Schizosaccharomyces pombe: one gene and its partners. Changing the gene in region 1 together with any one later gene gives a genetic interaction. Each region holds a gene or a part of one and is shown in the gene's direction. Other genes may lie near its edges.

What was found. A genetic interaction does not mean that the proteins touch.
Region 2: mutations in hus1 (region 1) and rad2 together harm fitness more than expected from each alone (negative genetic interaction), as found in Schizosaccharomyces pombe (2 studies listed by BioGRID).
Region 3: mutations in hus1 (region 1) and fml1 together harm fitness more than expected from each alone (negative genetic interaction), as found in Schizosaccharomyces pombe (2 studies listed by BioGRID).

Annotation. Positions count from the first base shown.
Region 1 is NC_003424.3:4,820,437-4,824,703, reverse strand, and holds hus1 (checkpoint clamp complex protein Hus1), read left to right. Parts: upstream 1-2,000; 5' UTR 2,001-2,125; coding exon 2,126-2,168; exon of another isoform or gene 2,169-2,216; coding exon 2,217-2,325; exon of another isoform or gene 2,326-2,390; coding exon 2,391-2,403; exon of another isoform or gene 2,404-2,457; coding exon 2,458-3,052; exon of another isoform or gene 3,053-3,109; coding exon 3,110-3,213; 3' UTR 3,214-3,717; downstream 3,718-4,267. Other genes in the region: fmp40 (adenylyltransferase), read left to right, coding at 55-1,761. UniProt on the Schizosaccharomyces pombe protein: Essential in controlling the S-M checkpoint that couples mitosis to the completion of DNA replication. It is also required for the response to DNA damage.
Region 2 is NC_003424.3:5,389,086-5,392,988, reverse strand, and holds rad2 (FEN-1 endonuclease Rad2), read left to right. Parts: upstream 1-1,566; 5' UTR 1,567-1,727; coding exon 1,728-1,740; intron 1,741-1,809; coding exon 1,810-1,900; exon of another isoform or gene 1,901-2,077; intron 2,078-2,085; exon of another isoform or gene 2,086-2,281; coding exon 2,282-3,320; 3' UTR 3,321-3,403; downstream 3,404-3,903. Other genes in the region: SPOM_SPAC3G6.07 (uncharacterized protein), read right to left, coding at 339-716; SPOM_SPAC3G6.05 (Mpv17/PMP22 family protein 1), read right to left, coding at 3,594-3,666, 3,736-3,833, 3,898-3,903. UniProt on the Schizosaccharomyces pombe protein: Structure-specific nuclease with 5'-flap endonuclease and 5'-3' exonuclease activities involved in DNA replication and repair.
Region 3 is NC_003424.3:1,469,038-1,476,775, forward strand, and holds fml1 (ATP-dependent 3' to 5' DNA helicase), read left to right. Parts: upstream 1-1,796; 5' UTR 1,797-2,022; coding exon 2,023-3,471; intron 3,472-3,516; coding exon 3,517-4,346; exon of another isoform or gene 4,347-4,402; coding exon 4,403-4,628; 3' UTR 4,629-4,654; coding exon of another isoform or gene 4,655-4,848; 3' UTR 4,849-4,901; coding exon of another isoform or gene 4,902-5,068; 3' UTR 5,069-5,115; coding exon of another isoform or gene 5,116-5,175; 3' UTR 5,176-5,226; coding exon of another isoform or gene 5,227-5,304; 3' UTR 5,305-5,343; coding exon of another isoform or gene 5,344-5,367; 3' UTR 5,368-5,422; coding exon of another isoform or gene 5,423-5,502; 3' UTR 5,503-5,871; coding exon of another isoform or gene 5,872-6,012; 3' UTR 6,013-6,062; coding exon of another isoform or gene 6,063-6,862; 3' UTR 6,863-6,910; coding exon of another isoform or gene 6,911-7,070; 3' UTR 7,071-7,238; downstream 7,239-7,738. Other genes in the region: Tf2-1 (retrotransposable element/transposon Tf2-type), read left to right, coding at 1-811; SPOM_SPAC9.06C (5'-methylthioribulose-1-phosphate dehydratase), read right to left, coding at 4,655-4,848, 4,902-5,068, 5,116-5,175, 5,227-5,304, 5,344-5,367, 5,423-5,502; SPOM_SPAC9.07C (GTPase Rbg1), read right to left, coding at 5,872-6,012, 6,063-6,862, 6,911-7,070. UniProt on the Schizosaccharomyces pombe protein: ATP-dependent DNA helicase involved in DNA damage repair by homologous recombination and in genome maintenance. Capable of unwinding D-loops. Plays a role in limiting crossover recombination during mitotic DNA double-strand break (DSB) repair.

The DNA of each region.
Region 1 (4,267 bases):
GGGGCACAATCAAACATTGGTATGCAAAGAACATTAATTCGATATACCAATACGATGTCAAAAAAATTGAAGGATCTCCCTGTCAGCTCAACGTTCACATCAAATCTTCCGCCTGATCCACTGGTACCGACCGTACAGGCAATGAAAAAGGCTGATGACAGAATCTTACATGTTCCTCGATTTGTGGAAGGCGGCGGCTTATTTACTTATTTGACTCCATCACTAAAAGCCAATTCTCAATTATTAGCTTATAGCCCTTCGTCCGTGAAGTCATTAGGACTCGAAGAATCTGAAACTCAAACTGAAGCTTTTCAACAGCTTGTTGTCGGTTCTAACGTTGATGTCAATAAGTGTTGTCCTTGGGCGCAATGTTATGGAGGATACCAATTTGGGGATTGGGCAGGTCAGTTGGGTGATGGCCGCGTAGTATCCTTATGCGAACTTACCAACCCGGAAACTGGAAAACGCTTTGAGATTCAAGTCAAAGGCGCAGGAAGAACACCATACTCTCGATTTGCAGATGGAAAGGCTGTTTTAAGATCTAGCATTCGAGAATATTTATGTTGTGAAGCTTTATATGCTCTAGGCATTCCAACAACACAGGCTCTGGCAATTTCCAATCTTGAAGGTGTTGTAGCACAACGTGAGACTGTAGAGCCTTGCGCCGTTGTTTGCCGTATGGCCCCTTCTTGGATCAGAATTGGGACTTTCGATCTCCAGGGGATTAATAATCAAATTGAGTCTTTACGGAAATTAGCCGACTATTGTCTAAATTTCGTTTTAAAAGATGGATTTCATGGTGGAGATACTGGAAATCGCTACGAAAAACTTCTTCGAGATGTTGCATATCGAAATGCTAAAACTGTAGCCAAATGGCAAGCATATGGATTTATGAATGGTGTTTTGAATACTGATAATACCAGTATACTGGGACTATCAATTGATTATGGACCTTTTGGATTTTTAGATGTTTACAACCCATCTTTTACACCTAATCATGACGATGTATTTTTGCGATATTCATATCGCAACCAACCTGATATTATTATTTGGAATTTATCAAAATTAGCATCTGCTTTGGTTGAGTTAATTGGAGCTTGCGACAAAGTTGATGACTTGCAATATATGGAACAACTTCATAACTCTACTGATTTGTTAAAAAAGGCGTTTGCTTATACTTCTGAAGTTTTTGAAAAGATAGTAGAAGAGTATAAAAATATTGTCCAGAATGATTTCTATGATCTTATGTTCAAACGAGTGGGTCTTCCCTCTGACTCATCTAACAAAATTCTGATAACTGATTTGTTACAAATTTTGGAGGATTATGAATTGGATATGCCAAATTGTTTTTCCTTTCTTTCTAGAAACTCTCCCTCTTCAATGGAGAATGAAGAATATGCTGCAAAATTGATGCAAGCATGTATTTGTCTAAACCCGAATAATGAAAGAGTTAGAAATGAATCTGTCAAAGCTTTCACTAATTGGGTTGGTCGATATAGTGAAGCAACGAAAACTCAGGAAGATTCATCCCGATTAGCGAGCATGAAAAAAGTCAACCCACATTTTACTCTTAGAAATTGGGTTCTTGAAGAGGTGATTAAAGAAGCATACATCGGGAAATTTGAGCTTTTTAAAAAAGTGTGTAAAATGGCTGCCTGTCCGTTCGAAGATACTTGGGGGTTTTCCAAGGAAGAAGAGGATTATTTATGCTATAACACTACTCCCTCCAAAAGCCAAATTCAATGTTCCTGCTCTAGCTAGAACCCTTCTTACTTGCCATTTATTTTTTTAATGTAATTTAAAATTTAGGAATAGCTAATCGTATGAAATAAATGATACAACGAATAGGCTCTTGAGTATAATTTTTTTTAGACTCTAAGACTTTTGTAAATCTTTTTAAATTTTATTCATTAATTTTATTCCACTTGCCATTAAAATTTGCATTTGCTTAATAAAGATTGCGATGCAGTTGCTAATGCCCAGTTTGCTATTTCTTAGCTGGCTTTTACGCGTTCGTAGTTTTTTCGACCGAAAATTTATTATTGGTCGACTTTAACCTGCTAAACGCTTGAATAAACAAAATGCCAAAAAATCTCAATCTCATTAGTTAAATCAAAGACTGAAAATGAGATTTAAAACAAGGATTAGCAACTTGTACACGTTGACGCGTAAGTTGGAAAAGATCAGCAGAAAGTTCGTTTACTAATCAAATTTAGGTCTTGTTCAGGCGCTAGATAAAATTGGAAGATTTTGCTGGCTTCGTCTGATGCCTGAAACTGTAAATTTTGTGATAGTGCCAGATTTTAGGATGACTCAAGTTTGGTCGTAAGTGAAGATATTAAGCATTTAACGGTGAAAAAAATCACATTGTGAAACTAATAAAGAAACAGAGTTTTAGAAGTCGTATGATTAACTATCTTTTTCTATTTGATTGCCCTAACTAACGTAAACGGAAAGGAAACAATATTTGAGGACTATGTCGTCCAAAGCAATGCAGACAACGTGATAAATCTAGAAGTTCCTATAGATAATTTCTATAAAGCCTTACGATCAGCGGCCAACGCTAGTGATTCTACTGTTCGTCTATCCAAGAAGAATAACCAGCCATTACTTTCGTTGTCTACCACTTGGAGTGGAAGGGCGTTTGGTTCGAATATTGTGACTCATAATATACCTGTTCGAGTACTATCACAATCATACGTGTCAGTTATTAAGGAACCAACTGCTCCTGAACCAGACTGTCATATATTCCTTCCACAACTGAATTTTCTAAGACACGTCGTGGACAAATACAAGAGTCTTTCAGACCGTATTATAATGTCAGCCAACATGTCAGGCGAATTGCAGTTATCGGTAAACATACCTTCAGCTAGAGTAAGCACAAAATGGAAAGGATTAGAGAATCCAGAGTTAGATCCTAGTCAAGTCGAAGACATCAGTCGACATCCCTCTCAAACAAGGGCACCCGAAGAATTTGTTCACATGAGACTAGACAGCAAGGACTTAGTCAACATGTTAAAAATATCCAGTGTTGCAAAGCGTGTAATAGCGTGTATGTACTATGAGAGAATCCTTTTTATGACCACGAACTAACCTTTTTACATTACAGGTTTCTGTGAAGGACATGCGCTAGTACTTTATGTTTATATAACAGATCCAGAAGATGAACATACGGCTGTTTTAACATACTACATTAGTACCTATGTGGACTAAGGTTACTTCAATTTGTTTATGATTTGATTTAATTAACGAATAATTGTTATGAGTGACTAGCCACATTTTTAATGTACATTAAAATGAAAAGAGATTAATCAACATCTACCATGCTTATACTTATTTTCTCTCTCTTCCTTTATCGATCTTACCGTTCTTTTTTATTTATTTTATACAGTTGTTGTAATCTCGGCAACTCAGTGTTTTACTATTCCGTTGATATCTCTTAAAAGGATAACACCAAAAAGAAATATAATGTTCAAGTCACAGAAAATCTGTTGATAAAATCCATATGTTTTCACGTTTTCAATGAGAGATACATACGATTAAACACAAACGTATGTTTTCAAGCAATTAACTTGAATATGAATAAACCTTGGTTCATCTTTCTTTAATCTTTTAGACAAGCAACTGTTCAGAAATCTATAAAGTCTCAATTGAACATTTAAGTGCTCAATGGGAAATATATACTTAATAAAAATTGAATATTTTAATCGTTTTTTTGAGAAGATATATGCCATTGACTGTAGCTTCTATTAATTTCCGCCTATTCTTTCTTGTACTTTGGAGGCATCGCTATACATTTTACGTAGAAGTGATGAAAATGGCGAGTTCCTCTTTAAAAGTGCGAAAATTTCAGGCTGTCTGTCATCGGAATTGACTATGTTCGATAGTTATTCCTCCTCCGATGCAGTCGGCTACACATGTAAACTGTACCAACATTCAGTACGAAAGGGGCTGAACGTTGTTACCTAGAAAAGTTGGTATCGCAATAGAGGTAACGATAGTGAAAATCCCACAATAACTTAAATATGGAGAGGTATCCGGGGAAATCCGCTACATAAACAACACATATACAGACATATAAATTGACTTAAACGTACCTTCTTTCTATAATAGTTTTACCGTTCCTTAATTGCAAATTCTTTCTTGTTTTCATAGATAGCATTGTTACTATTATTGTTATATATTCAATATAGACTGATAATTAGGATTGTACATTTCGTTTCATTTAGAGAAAAAAAAAAGGAATAATTTTCATGTTTTAAATTAC
Region 2 (3,903 bases), 570 kb from region 1:
TATTTTTTTAAGTTTGTTTTTTCAAAAGGTTACAGATCGATTTACTAAGCTACAAAATTCAAAAAACTTAAAAAATTCAATACTTGCAAAGCAAAGAAGCAGAAAAAAAGATCCAAAAAAAAAGGATTACATTTATTTTGTTGAATTTATTATTTTTTTTAAAAAATAAATAACTTAACTAATGAATCACTATTTAGCAATTCTCTTTAGATTTGAATCCATAAAAATCATAACAATAAGCGAAGCAATATAACTGGTATTTGCTTATAAAATGAGCGATTCATGCAAGCAGAAAGTTCTTTAAAAACAAAAGAAAACATTAAAATAGATTTAGCACTTCACTTTGGCGTTATAATATCTCCATGTTTTTTTACATGATCACGATACACTCGATATGGTAAAACCAGTGTATACTTTGGCATAACAAAATCATCTCCAACAAACGATTCATCCTCAACATATGTTTTAAGAAATTGTAACACTTCGGTTTGATCAGCTTTAGTGAGGTCGATGTATATATACAACAAATATGAAAATTGGAAAATGGTATTAGCAGTTGCTTTATAAACCACAAACGATTGGTAATATTGTCTACCTTTGTTATAATAGTCTATAACATCAGGAATAACACTGTTTTTTTCCTTTTCATTAGAGACATCTTCTCCTTCGTAATCGGCAGGTGCCAATGTTAAGTATGGCGAGCTTTGTTCAGACATTGTTCTTGCTTTCACAGGTAAATTGAGGTTGCACTGGGATATGAGTATACTGTAAGCAAGGCGCGCAGCATCTCATATAATATTCTTTCAACGAGCCGACATTAACTAGAATTTGCCAACGTAAGATCAGAATGACGTTTTGATCCGCACGAAATACGTCGGTAAAGGAACCTTATTAGTAGAATATTGCAATATTGTTCGTTGTCTGCATACTACACAAGCGATACCATAAACTGGTTACGATTATATTTTCGACGATTCAGTAGCAGATATGGCGAGTTTCAAATAATACTCTCTTGGTAAAATGCCTATTATCCAACATTGTTCCATGAATCAAGGCTATTGTTCTATTAAAAATATTACGTTGAGCAATTCAAGCGGCTTTCTCACTACGGTATCTCAGTACCGTAAAACCACTGGTTTATTCTCATAAAAACAACCTTATGTTACACAGACTTACATCTAGCCAAGTCAATAGGGTTTCGGTAAAGTTCCAATGTACTTTTCATCCTATTCCTTATCCGGAAAAAGGAATCGATCATTTTTCCAGAATTTCTGATGGTACATTACCTTTTCGAGATCTTTTCGTGGTAGTAAACTGCGAGGTGATTTACATTTTACAGCCGTGCTGCCACCAAAACCACAAGAACCTCAATTTGGTAATCTTAAAATTTCTAATTTGTTCCTTCTAGAAATCCTTTTTTAAAAGCTATAATACATGGGAATTTTCAGTATAAATTGGCTGGTCCCTTTCCTTGTATTTACATTCTTTGGTCGATCATTCTTTATGGAAAAGTAACATGTGATTTACTGAATCGACTCTTTGACGTGGATACTACTGCTGGTAGCTAAGAACCTTTGTGTGAGTGAGCAAAGTAAAAACTGCTCGATTTTGAGGAGTATAATACATCTAGCAAAAATTGAAAATTTAATAAGAAGCTCTAAGCTAGTTTTGGAGAAAGCGTTGTTCGGGATCTCGTAATATACATAAATAAGTATATTTGCTAAACGATGGGAATTAAAGGTATGTTACATTTAACGCTAAAGAGTTTATCTTTTACTCTCTCCTTTACTTAAAACTAATCTGGGTTAGGTTTGGCTCAAGTACTAAGCGAGCATGCCCCAGCCAGTGTCAAACATAATGATATTAAAAATTATTTTGGACGGAAAGTGGCTATAGATGCGTAAGTTGAAAGACTAAATAGAAAGCGAAAGTCTCAGTTGACTTGGCAAAGACTGTATGGCTTCTGATTTTGTTTGTAAATATGGGTTAAACACTATGGTGTACAGTTTTTATTGCTAAAGAGCAAAGCTCTATGTCTTAACTCGAGACAAAGATATGATACAAACGAAATATAGAATAAAGGATGAATAAATTTTCACTAACAGTGACTCGGTTAAATTCATTGCTCAAGGTATTTTACATCATTTCTTTACTTTGTTGGTTCTTGAAGTTGCAAACACTAATAGGTCAAACTCTATTCAACTGATTCTTTCCTTTTCGAAGGGTTGATTTATAAAGTCTTCTTGAGGTACTTTATTAATGCTAATTTCGTATATTACAGGTCAATGAGTCTTTATCAATTTTTAATTCAAGTTCGCAGTCAAGATGGTCAACAGCTAATGAATGAACAAGGCGAGACTACTAGTCATTTAATGGGAATGTTTTATCGTACACTCCGAATTGTCGATAATGGAATAAAGCCTTGCTTTGTCTTTGATGGAAAACCACCAACATTGAAGTCAGGGGAATTAGCTAAACGTGTGGCCCGACATCAAAAAGCACGAGAGGATCAAGAGGAGACAAAAGAGGTTGGTACAGCTGAAATGGTGGATCGGTTTGCCAAACGTACGGTCAAAGTTACTCGGCAACATAATGACGAAGCAAAACGTTTACTAGAGTTAATGGGAATTCCCTTCGTTAACGCACCCTGTGAAGCAGAAGCTCAATGTGCCGCTTTAGCCCGTTCAGGAAAAGTTTATGCTGCTGCTTCTGAGGACATGGACACATTGTGCTTCCAAGCTCCTGTACTTTTGAGACACCTGACATTTAGTGAGCAAAGAAAGGAACCAATTAGTGAGTATAACATAGAAAAAGCATTGAATGGTTTAGATATGTCGGTGGAGCAGTTTGTAGACTTGTGTATTCTTTTGGGTTGTGACTATTGTGAACCTATTCGGGGAGTTGGCCCCGCTAGAGCCGTCGAGTTAATTAGGCAATACGGGACTCTCGATCGCTTTGTCAAAGAGGCGGATCGATCAAAATATCCTATTCCGGAAGATTGGCCTTATGAAGATGCCAGAAGACTGTTTTTGGATGCAGAAGTACTTCCTGGTGAAGAGATTGAGTTGAAATGGAAAAGTCCCGATGCAGATGGCATTATACAATTTCTGGTTAAGGAAAAAGGTTTCAATGAAGATCGTGTTAAATTGGGGATCAATAGACTAGAAAAAGCCTCAAAGACAATTCCACAGGGTCGTCTTGATTCCTTTTTTAAACCAGTCCCTTCTTCTCCCAAAAAACCTGTAGATACAAAGAGCAAAGGATCAGCAAAAAGGAAAAGAGATTCAAATAAGGGTGGTGAAAGCAAGAAAAAGCGTTGAAAACGAAGTCATGTAATTGTTATTAATCTAAAAAAAAAACTTAAAAAAAGCAAGACGCATGTAGATAAAACTATACTACGCTATAATAATAGTAAATCTGTTTAATGCATGACTTTTACGTAAAAATAATTAGTCTAAGGAGGTAATTCTGATCATATAAGCTAATAATGGTATACAAAACTCGTTTCTAAGTAATAATATGCCAAAAAACAATCTGGCTGATACAACTCAAAAAACGAAAAGCAGTGGATTCGGACGATGGATCAAAGATCTTTAAAATAGTTCAATTTCTTGTGAGCCAGATTCTTGCATTGAAGAAGCGTTCTTCAAACTAAGAAATATGTTCCTAATTGAAATTAGCAAAGGCGAAAAAACTAGGAGCAAAAATGCTTTATGTCTCTTGGAAACAACATACCAAAAAATAGCAACCGTACAAGCAAATGGCATTTGGTATTGTAAGGGCATTAGCCAAAAGTTCACAGTTTGAAAGAAGGGCCAGACCATATAATTAGCCTTTAAATGTTAGCAACAATACAACAGAACCATTTAAGAAAGAAAATTTAGAAATTAAGTGTACCTTTAA
Region 3 (7,738 bases), 3.4 Mb from region 1:
ACATAAATATAATTTCGTTATGAAATTTTCGTTACCATACAGACCACAAACTGATGGACAAACTGAGCGTACAAACCAAACTGTGGAGAAATTACTAAGATGTGTATGTAGCACACATCCAAATACATGGGTAGATCATATATCCCTAGTGCAACAATCTTACAACAATGCGATACATTCAGCAACTCAAATGACACCTTTTGAGATAGTACATCGCTATTCACCAGCTTTATCACCTTTAGAGTTACCTAGCTTTAGTGACAAAACTGACGAAAACTCTCAGGAAACGATCCAAGTATTTCAAACAGTTAAAGAACACTTGAATACAAACAACATAAAGATGAAAAAGTATTTCGATATGAAAATACAAGAAATTGAAGAATTTCAACCTGGAGACCTAGTTATGGTCAAAAGAACGAAAACAGGTTTTCTTCATAAATCCAATAAATTAGCACCTAGTTTTGCAGGACCGTTCTATGTGTTACAGAAGTCGGGTCCAAACAACTATGAATTGGATCTTCCAGATTCAATCAAGCACATGTTTTCATCTACTTTTCATGTTTCTCACCTAGAAAAGTATCGACATAATTCAGAACTCAATTACGCTACCATTGATGAGTCTGATATTGGAACAATTCTTCATATCCTAGAACATAAAAACAGAGAACAAGTACTCTACTTAAATGTCAAGTACATTTCGAATCTAAATCCGAGTACTATTATGTCAGGATGGACTACATTAGCTACAGCGCTACAAGCGGACAAAGCAATTGTCAATGATTATATTAAAAACAATAATCTAAATATCTGAGAACATATGACTTATCCTCAGATTTACATAGAAAATCTTGGGGAGGGCAATGTCAGCAATACTACACTACGCTATAATACACTACGTTGAGTATCACTATATGTCACATGTTCTAATTATATATCGTACCATGTATGATACGATATGGAGATTGATCTTAATGATAATCTATTAAGATCAATATTATCTGAATACTATAAATAGAGCTACTGCTGAACCTCGTTCCTCAGTTCAGTTATGAGCTATATTAGTGATAGGTAACATTATAACCCAGTTAATACAATACCTATACTCAGTTGCTACTTATACAACCTGTGTATTGTAATATAATAGATCACAAGGAAAACTCACCGCAGTTCTACGTATCCTTAAATCAGATACCAAACTGCGTAGCTTACAATTTCATAGAAGTATGACCTTTGAACAAAATCACTATTTCACTTAATGCAGTGCTTAAATTCTTTAATTTATACTTAGTGAATCAGTAAATTTAAAATACGTTAAATGGCTTTATGGAATTTCCAAAGGAACTCTTCGAAGAGGAAATTTCAAATTATGTGATAGATTAAAGATTATGGCTATTATTCGATAAATGAGTGTTTTTTTACTCACTTGATGTGTGATATGTTACCACAAACAAAGTCCAATTTTGAAGGTACAAACATCAGAAAGTCCTGAATTCTAGCAACATTAGTCTATGTACGGACACTTTTCAACTCGTTTTACTTCATCTAGCTAATCATTTTCTTTAATCTAAGAGCCATTACATGTCTTTCTGATAGGATTTGTTCGGCTATGCTTGTTATTTGTTTATCGTATAGAGAGCGACTTATAGTGAATATATACAAAAACCATTATGATGATATACGAATTCTATATCGGTTATTAGGTGCTTCCCTAATACAATACTACACCCGCGCAATAATTCGTTATAACAAATCGTTACTGAAAAGACATGGAATATACACATTGGCAATGTAATTTTAAACATAATTAACTTCATTACTTTCTCATGAAGTTAATTGTATCTTAAACCATTTGAGGGAAAAAACTTGTCCTTTACAATTACTTCCGACAATAAAGGACGCTTTGCAGTGAATGTCTTATGGAATTGTTGTATTTGACGACTGACGAAACGAAGTACCTTAGCAAAATTCGTTTTTAAGTAATTCCAGCTAAATTTTTGCTAACAATATAAATCATTGATAAGGATGTCCGATGATTCTTTTAGTAGTGATGAAGACTGGGACGAATTGGACACCCAAGTAGTTGATAAAATTGAGAATGAATATCATAATAACACGATAGGTTTAAATGGATACTCAGTTGATGAATATTTTGATGCCAACGATTCCAATAGATATCGTCTACAACACGAGTTAGATGAAAGTGCAGCACAGCAATGGGTATACCCTATAAACGTCTCCTTTCGAGATTATCAGTTTAATATTGTCCAAAAAGCTTTATTTGAAAATGTACTTGTAGCTTTGCCAACAGGTTTAGGTAAAACATTTATTGCAGCCGTTGTGATGATGAATTATCTTCGTTGGTTTCCAAAAAGTTACATTGTTTTCATGGCTCCTACTAAACCATTGGTTACACAACAAATGGAAGCTTGCTATAAAATCACTGGAATTCCAAAGAGTCAAACTGCTGAATTAAGTGGACACGTTCCTGTTACAACTCGAAATCAGTATTATCAAAGTCGAAATGTTTTCTTCGTAACTCCTCAAACCATTTTAAACGACATCAAGCATGGAATTTGCGATCGGACTCGTATATCTTGTTTAGTAATTGATGAAGCACATCGTAGTACTGGAAATTACGCTTATGTGGAAGTTGTTCATCTACTTTCTCTTAGCAACAAAAATTTCCGTATACTGGCTCTTAGTGCTACCCCCGGAAATAAGTTAGAAGCAATTCAGAATGTAATTGATTCTCTTCATATATCCAGGATTGAGATTAGAACTGAAAACAGCATTGATATATCGCAATACGTTCAGAAGAAAGAGGTGGATTTTTTTCCTGTAGATTTGTCTGCAGAGATTACAGATATAAGAGATCGATTTTCTTCTATATTGGAACCTATGCTTCAAAAATTGAACAAGGGTAATTATTATCGAATTCAGAATGCTAAAGACATAACTTCTTTCACTGTGGTTCAAGCTAAACAAGCTTTTCTTGCAATGTCTGGTCAAAACTTTCCTGCTAATCAAAAATGGGATATTTTAAATACTTTTGATGCATTAGCGACTTTTGCCTATCCTTTAAATTTGTTACTCAACCATGGTATCCGACCGTTTTATCAAAAATTGCGAGAGGTAGAAGAAGAATGCTTTGTAGGAAGATCAGGTTATAAGAAACGCATAATAAATCACGAAAATTATCGTCCTTTAATGGACGATATAGAAATTTTGTTGCGAGATCAGTCTTTTGTCGGACATCCCAAACTAGAGCATTTGGAACGTATTGTTACAGAATATTTTGAAAAAGAACAAACCAAGGATACCAGAATTATGATTTTTGTTGAAATCCGCTCTAGCGCCGAAGAGATTTTACGATTTTTGGGTAAATTTTATCCAAATGTGAGACCAGCTATTTTTATTGGACAATCTGCTGTGAGAAAGGCTGCTGGAATGTCTCAAAAATTACAGAATGAAGTATGTAATCTGAAAATGATGGATCCTTAACTAACTAATCTCTAGACTGTGAAACAATTTCAAAAAGGTGAAGTCAATACTTTAATAGCTACCTCTATTGGAGAAGAGGGTTTGGACATAGGTGAAGTAGACATGATCATATGTTACGATGCATCTGCTTCTCCTATAAGGATGTTACAAAGAATGGGCAGAACTGGGAGAAAAAGGAAAGGTTATATTTATATGCTTTTGACGCGAGGCAAAGAAGAAGCAAAATGGGAGAGAGCCAAAGACGCTTATCGAACTTTGCAAGATAATATTGTCAGTGGTCGCGGTCTCAGCCTATCGGAAAAAAGTTATAGAATTTTACCAGAAAAGTTTCGCCCGGTTTGTGATAAACGAGTCATAGAAATTCCCAAAGAAAATGAAGAAGTTGTAGTAGCTCCAAAGAAAGTGCAATTGAGAACGAAAATAAAAAAGAAATTTTTCATGCCAGAAAATGCCTTGAATGGATTTATTACTGCGTCCGCTTTAGGTAAACCGAAACGTGCTTTAGCCAAGTCTGAAGAATCACCGTTCGAGATATGTCCCGTTACATATAGCATTGAACAAGAAAAGAAACTGGAAAAATATAAGCGTGTTTGCTTAAGAGGTTTGGATATTCATAGAAATAGGAGGTTATCTCAATTGAGTGTTACAGGACGGATACCGCATTCTCTAGCTACGAAAAGTATACATTCATTTTTAAAGCATTTAAATACTATAGATTCGCAAAAGGCTCAGGAGTGGAGAAGAGAAATAAACAACCAATTCCAAGTATCAAATATCAACTCGACGGATCGTGACACAAAACAGCCAAAGATGCATGACTTTAGACAACCTTTACACCCAAATCCGTAAGTGTTTAAACTATTGAGTTGTTTAACGATAATTACAGATTATTAACATACAGGATGACAACTTTGAAAAGGAAAGGACAACATAATTCATTTTCTTACGACAAGTCTACACTGTTTTATGACAACAACAATAATTTAGAGGAAGACCTCCCGGATGTAAATATTTCTATATCTTCAAGGAATGAAGAAGCATCCAAGACAAAACCATTTGACGACCGACAACAACGCCTTCAGCAACTCGTAGAGAAAAGGAAACGTATGAAAGGAATGCTGATTTAGAGAATTAAATAGTGTTTAGAAATAGCCTACAACGTTTTCAATTTGTAGTCTAACTCAAAAAGATATTCGTAGCATTCCATTTGAGTTTTTGATTTTTCCCATGTTGCTCCCCAACCGATAACCCCATGTCCACGAATAAGAACAGCACATGTTTGTGGATAAAGCTCGATGACTTTTTTTAGTTCATCTAATATTGTTTTACTATCGCCATTGTGGATAACTACATAATCAGTATTCAGATACCAGTCAACACCAACAGAAAACACAACTTACTAGGAACCTCTAGAGTATCAAAACAGCAAAGATAGCCTGCTGAAGGATTTCCCTTTGGAATTCCTTTGATCATTTCCTTAGATTGTGTAGTAAATTTCTCATTATACATCGATGCTCCGACTGCAGCGACTGAAGTAGAATATATACAGGCTACTGCATCCATATTACTTTTGATGTGTTAAAAATTGCTGTAAATAGAAAAAATGATGCATACCTCAAAACCCATGAGAAAATGTAGGCCCAATTGACTAAATCCTTGGTGACTGACTGATTGCTGTATAAAAGGTTAGATACTAATTGGAGCTGATCCAAATGAATAATTTACCTTAAATTAAAGGTCACGATATCGTTTTCCGTTATGAAGTCTCTTTGAACCCTGTCCTTAACGCAAATTGCATAACCACTAAATGTTAACAAAATCGTTTGAATACCGTACAATTACTTGTTCTTTAGACAAAAGTTTCCACTAAATACCAATTAGCTTTAAAAAATTACTGAACATTAAACGTCTTGAACGCTACCTGCCAAATTTCATCCATCCAAGACTGTAAAAATGAGGAATAAGTTCAAGAATCAAATTTTTCTCTAATTGGAGACTCATTCTTCTAAAATTTTCAACTTTAACCTTTAAAAGTTCCCGTACTATACTCAGAAATGATTTATTTAATGATCGGTTCTTTCAGCAAAGTGAGTAGCGTTTCATAAGTTGCGTTTGCAAATTTGATATTAAAAAGTAATTGAAGGAAGACATATGTCACAAAACACTCTACACAATCATTCATTAAGCTTATAATACACGAAAACTTTTACTTTAAAGAAAAAACAATTTGAACAAATAACGAAATAAATTACCATCTAAAATTTTAAGTCATTGTAACCCACCTATTAGAGTAACCAGTTAAATAAGTTTTCAGGCCTATATATTCCAATACTGGGAAACCAAGGAAAGTAAGATGTTAGGAAAAAAGACTTATTTTTTGACAATCGTCACTACATCCTCATCCAACAGTACATGAGATAAACCAACACGCATGCCAGGATAAGGAACGCTTTTTCCCCAAACATAAGCATGTTTAAACTGGGATTTGATACTTGAATGAATATTGTTACACTAAAGAAGTTAGCAACACGAAGATCGGCAGAAGCAATTCGAAAACTTACAAAATCCTCGACAGTAGAATGGCCAGTACGAAGGATAACAGGTTCGCTGTAATCAGGTTCAAGACCTCTAGGGCGTGTATAGACTCTAACCAAATTCAAATAGTCCCACATCGTTTCTTTAAGTTCGTCAATGTTCCAACCCCTGTTACCACAAATGGGTACGGCGTTAGGAATACGATCAATCAAATCAAGTTCTTCAATAGAAATTGAATCAATTTTATTTAACACGTAAAGTGCCGGGATATAAACGCGATTTCCTTCCAAGACATCAATCAAATCATCAATGGTGGCATCACAACGAAAAGCAATGTCAGCAGAGTTAACACGATATTCGCTGCAAACAGCACGAATTTCGTCCAAATCAATATGAGTCAAGGGGACAGTATTGGTGATATTGATACCACCACGTTCTTTCTTTTTGAATACAATGTTGGGGGGTTCCTTATTTAATCTTATACCAAATCCTTCCAATTCCTCTTCAATAATACGCTTATGAGACATTGGTTTCAATACATCCAAAACAATAAATATAAGGTTGCAAGTACGTGCAACAGTAATAACTTGTTTACCACGACCACGACCATCTTTGGCACCCTCGATAATACCAGGCAAATCCAAAATTTGAATTTTTGCACCATTGTATTGCAAAACACCCGGAACCGTTGTTAAAGTTGTAAATTCATATGCAGCGGCTTCACTTCTCGTTCCTGTAAGCTGAGTCATGAGTGTACTTTTACCGACGGAGGGAAATCCAATGAAACCTACAGTACCAATACCGGTACGAGCAACATCGAAACCAACTAAGAAAGATTAGTACTCCAAACAAAAATTTGACGTTCAGTACATACGCCCTCCACCACCTCCTCCACCGGTAGGGGTGATCAATTCACGTTTCAATTTTGCAAGCTTGGCCTTTAACATTCCCAAGTGCTTAGCCGTAGCTTTATTTTTTTGGGTTTTGGCCATTTCATCTTCAACTTCTTTTATTTTTTGCGCCGTAGTCGCCATTTTGTTTTTTTATTATATATGAAAATGCTATGAAAATGGTGAAAAGAAAATTCTATAACTAAGTACGTATAAGATCTTTTGCATTATTGAGTGCTAAGCAACCCTCTTTATTTTATATTAGTGTATTAAACCACATTACAACAGCCAAACTATTATTAAGATACCAGGTAGAATATCACGTTGGATCTCGATATTTGTTCCTTGTTGTAAGTAAATAAAAAAATATGTGAAATATTGAATCCAGTTATTCAATAGAATTTCATAAATAAATCTTTTTTCTTTTGCGTGTCTTTTTTTATGCGTTAGATCAATATAAAATATGTATGTATATAAAAAGTTGATAATTTTGTTTTGTTTTTCTTACACAATTTTAATGCAAATATTAAATAAATAAGATTGCAAAAAAGTAGTTGCTGATTGCGCAAAAGCTTGGATTAACAGTATTTTTTGATAAATAAAAAAAGAAATAAATAAATTTAGTATGTTCTAAGTCAACGGCAAATGAATTATTATTCAGGGGTTGAAGATAATGTCAGTTAACAAGGTTAATTATCGGGTCAGGGTAATAATTAAAAATTAAATAAATAAAAAATATCTGCGGCTGTTGCGTATAAACAGTAGACGGATGAGCAATTATCCCCAATAGCCTAAATACAAAATATAAGAAC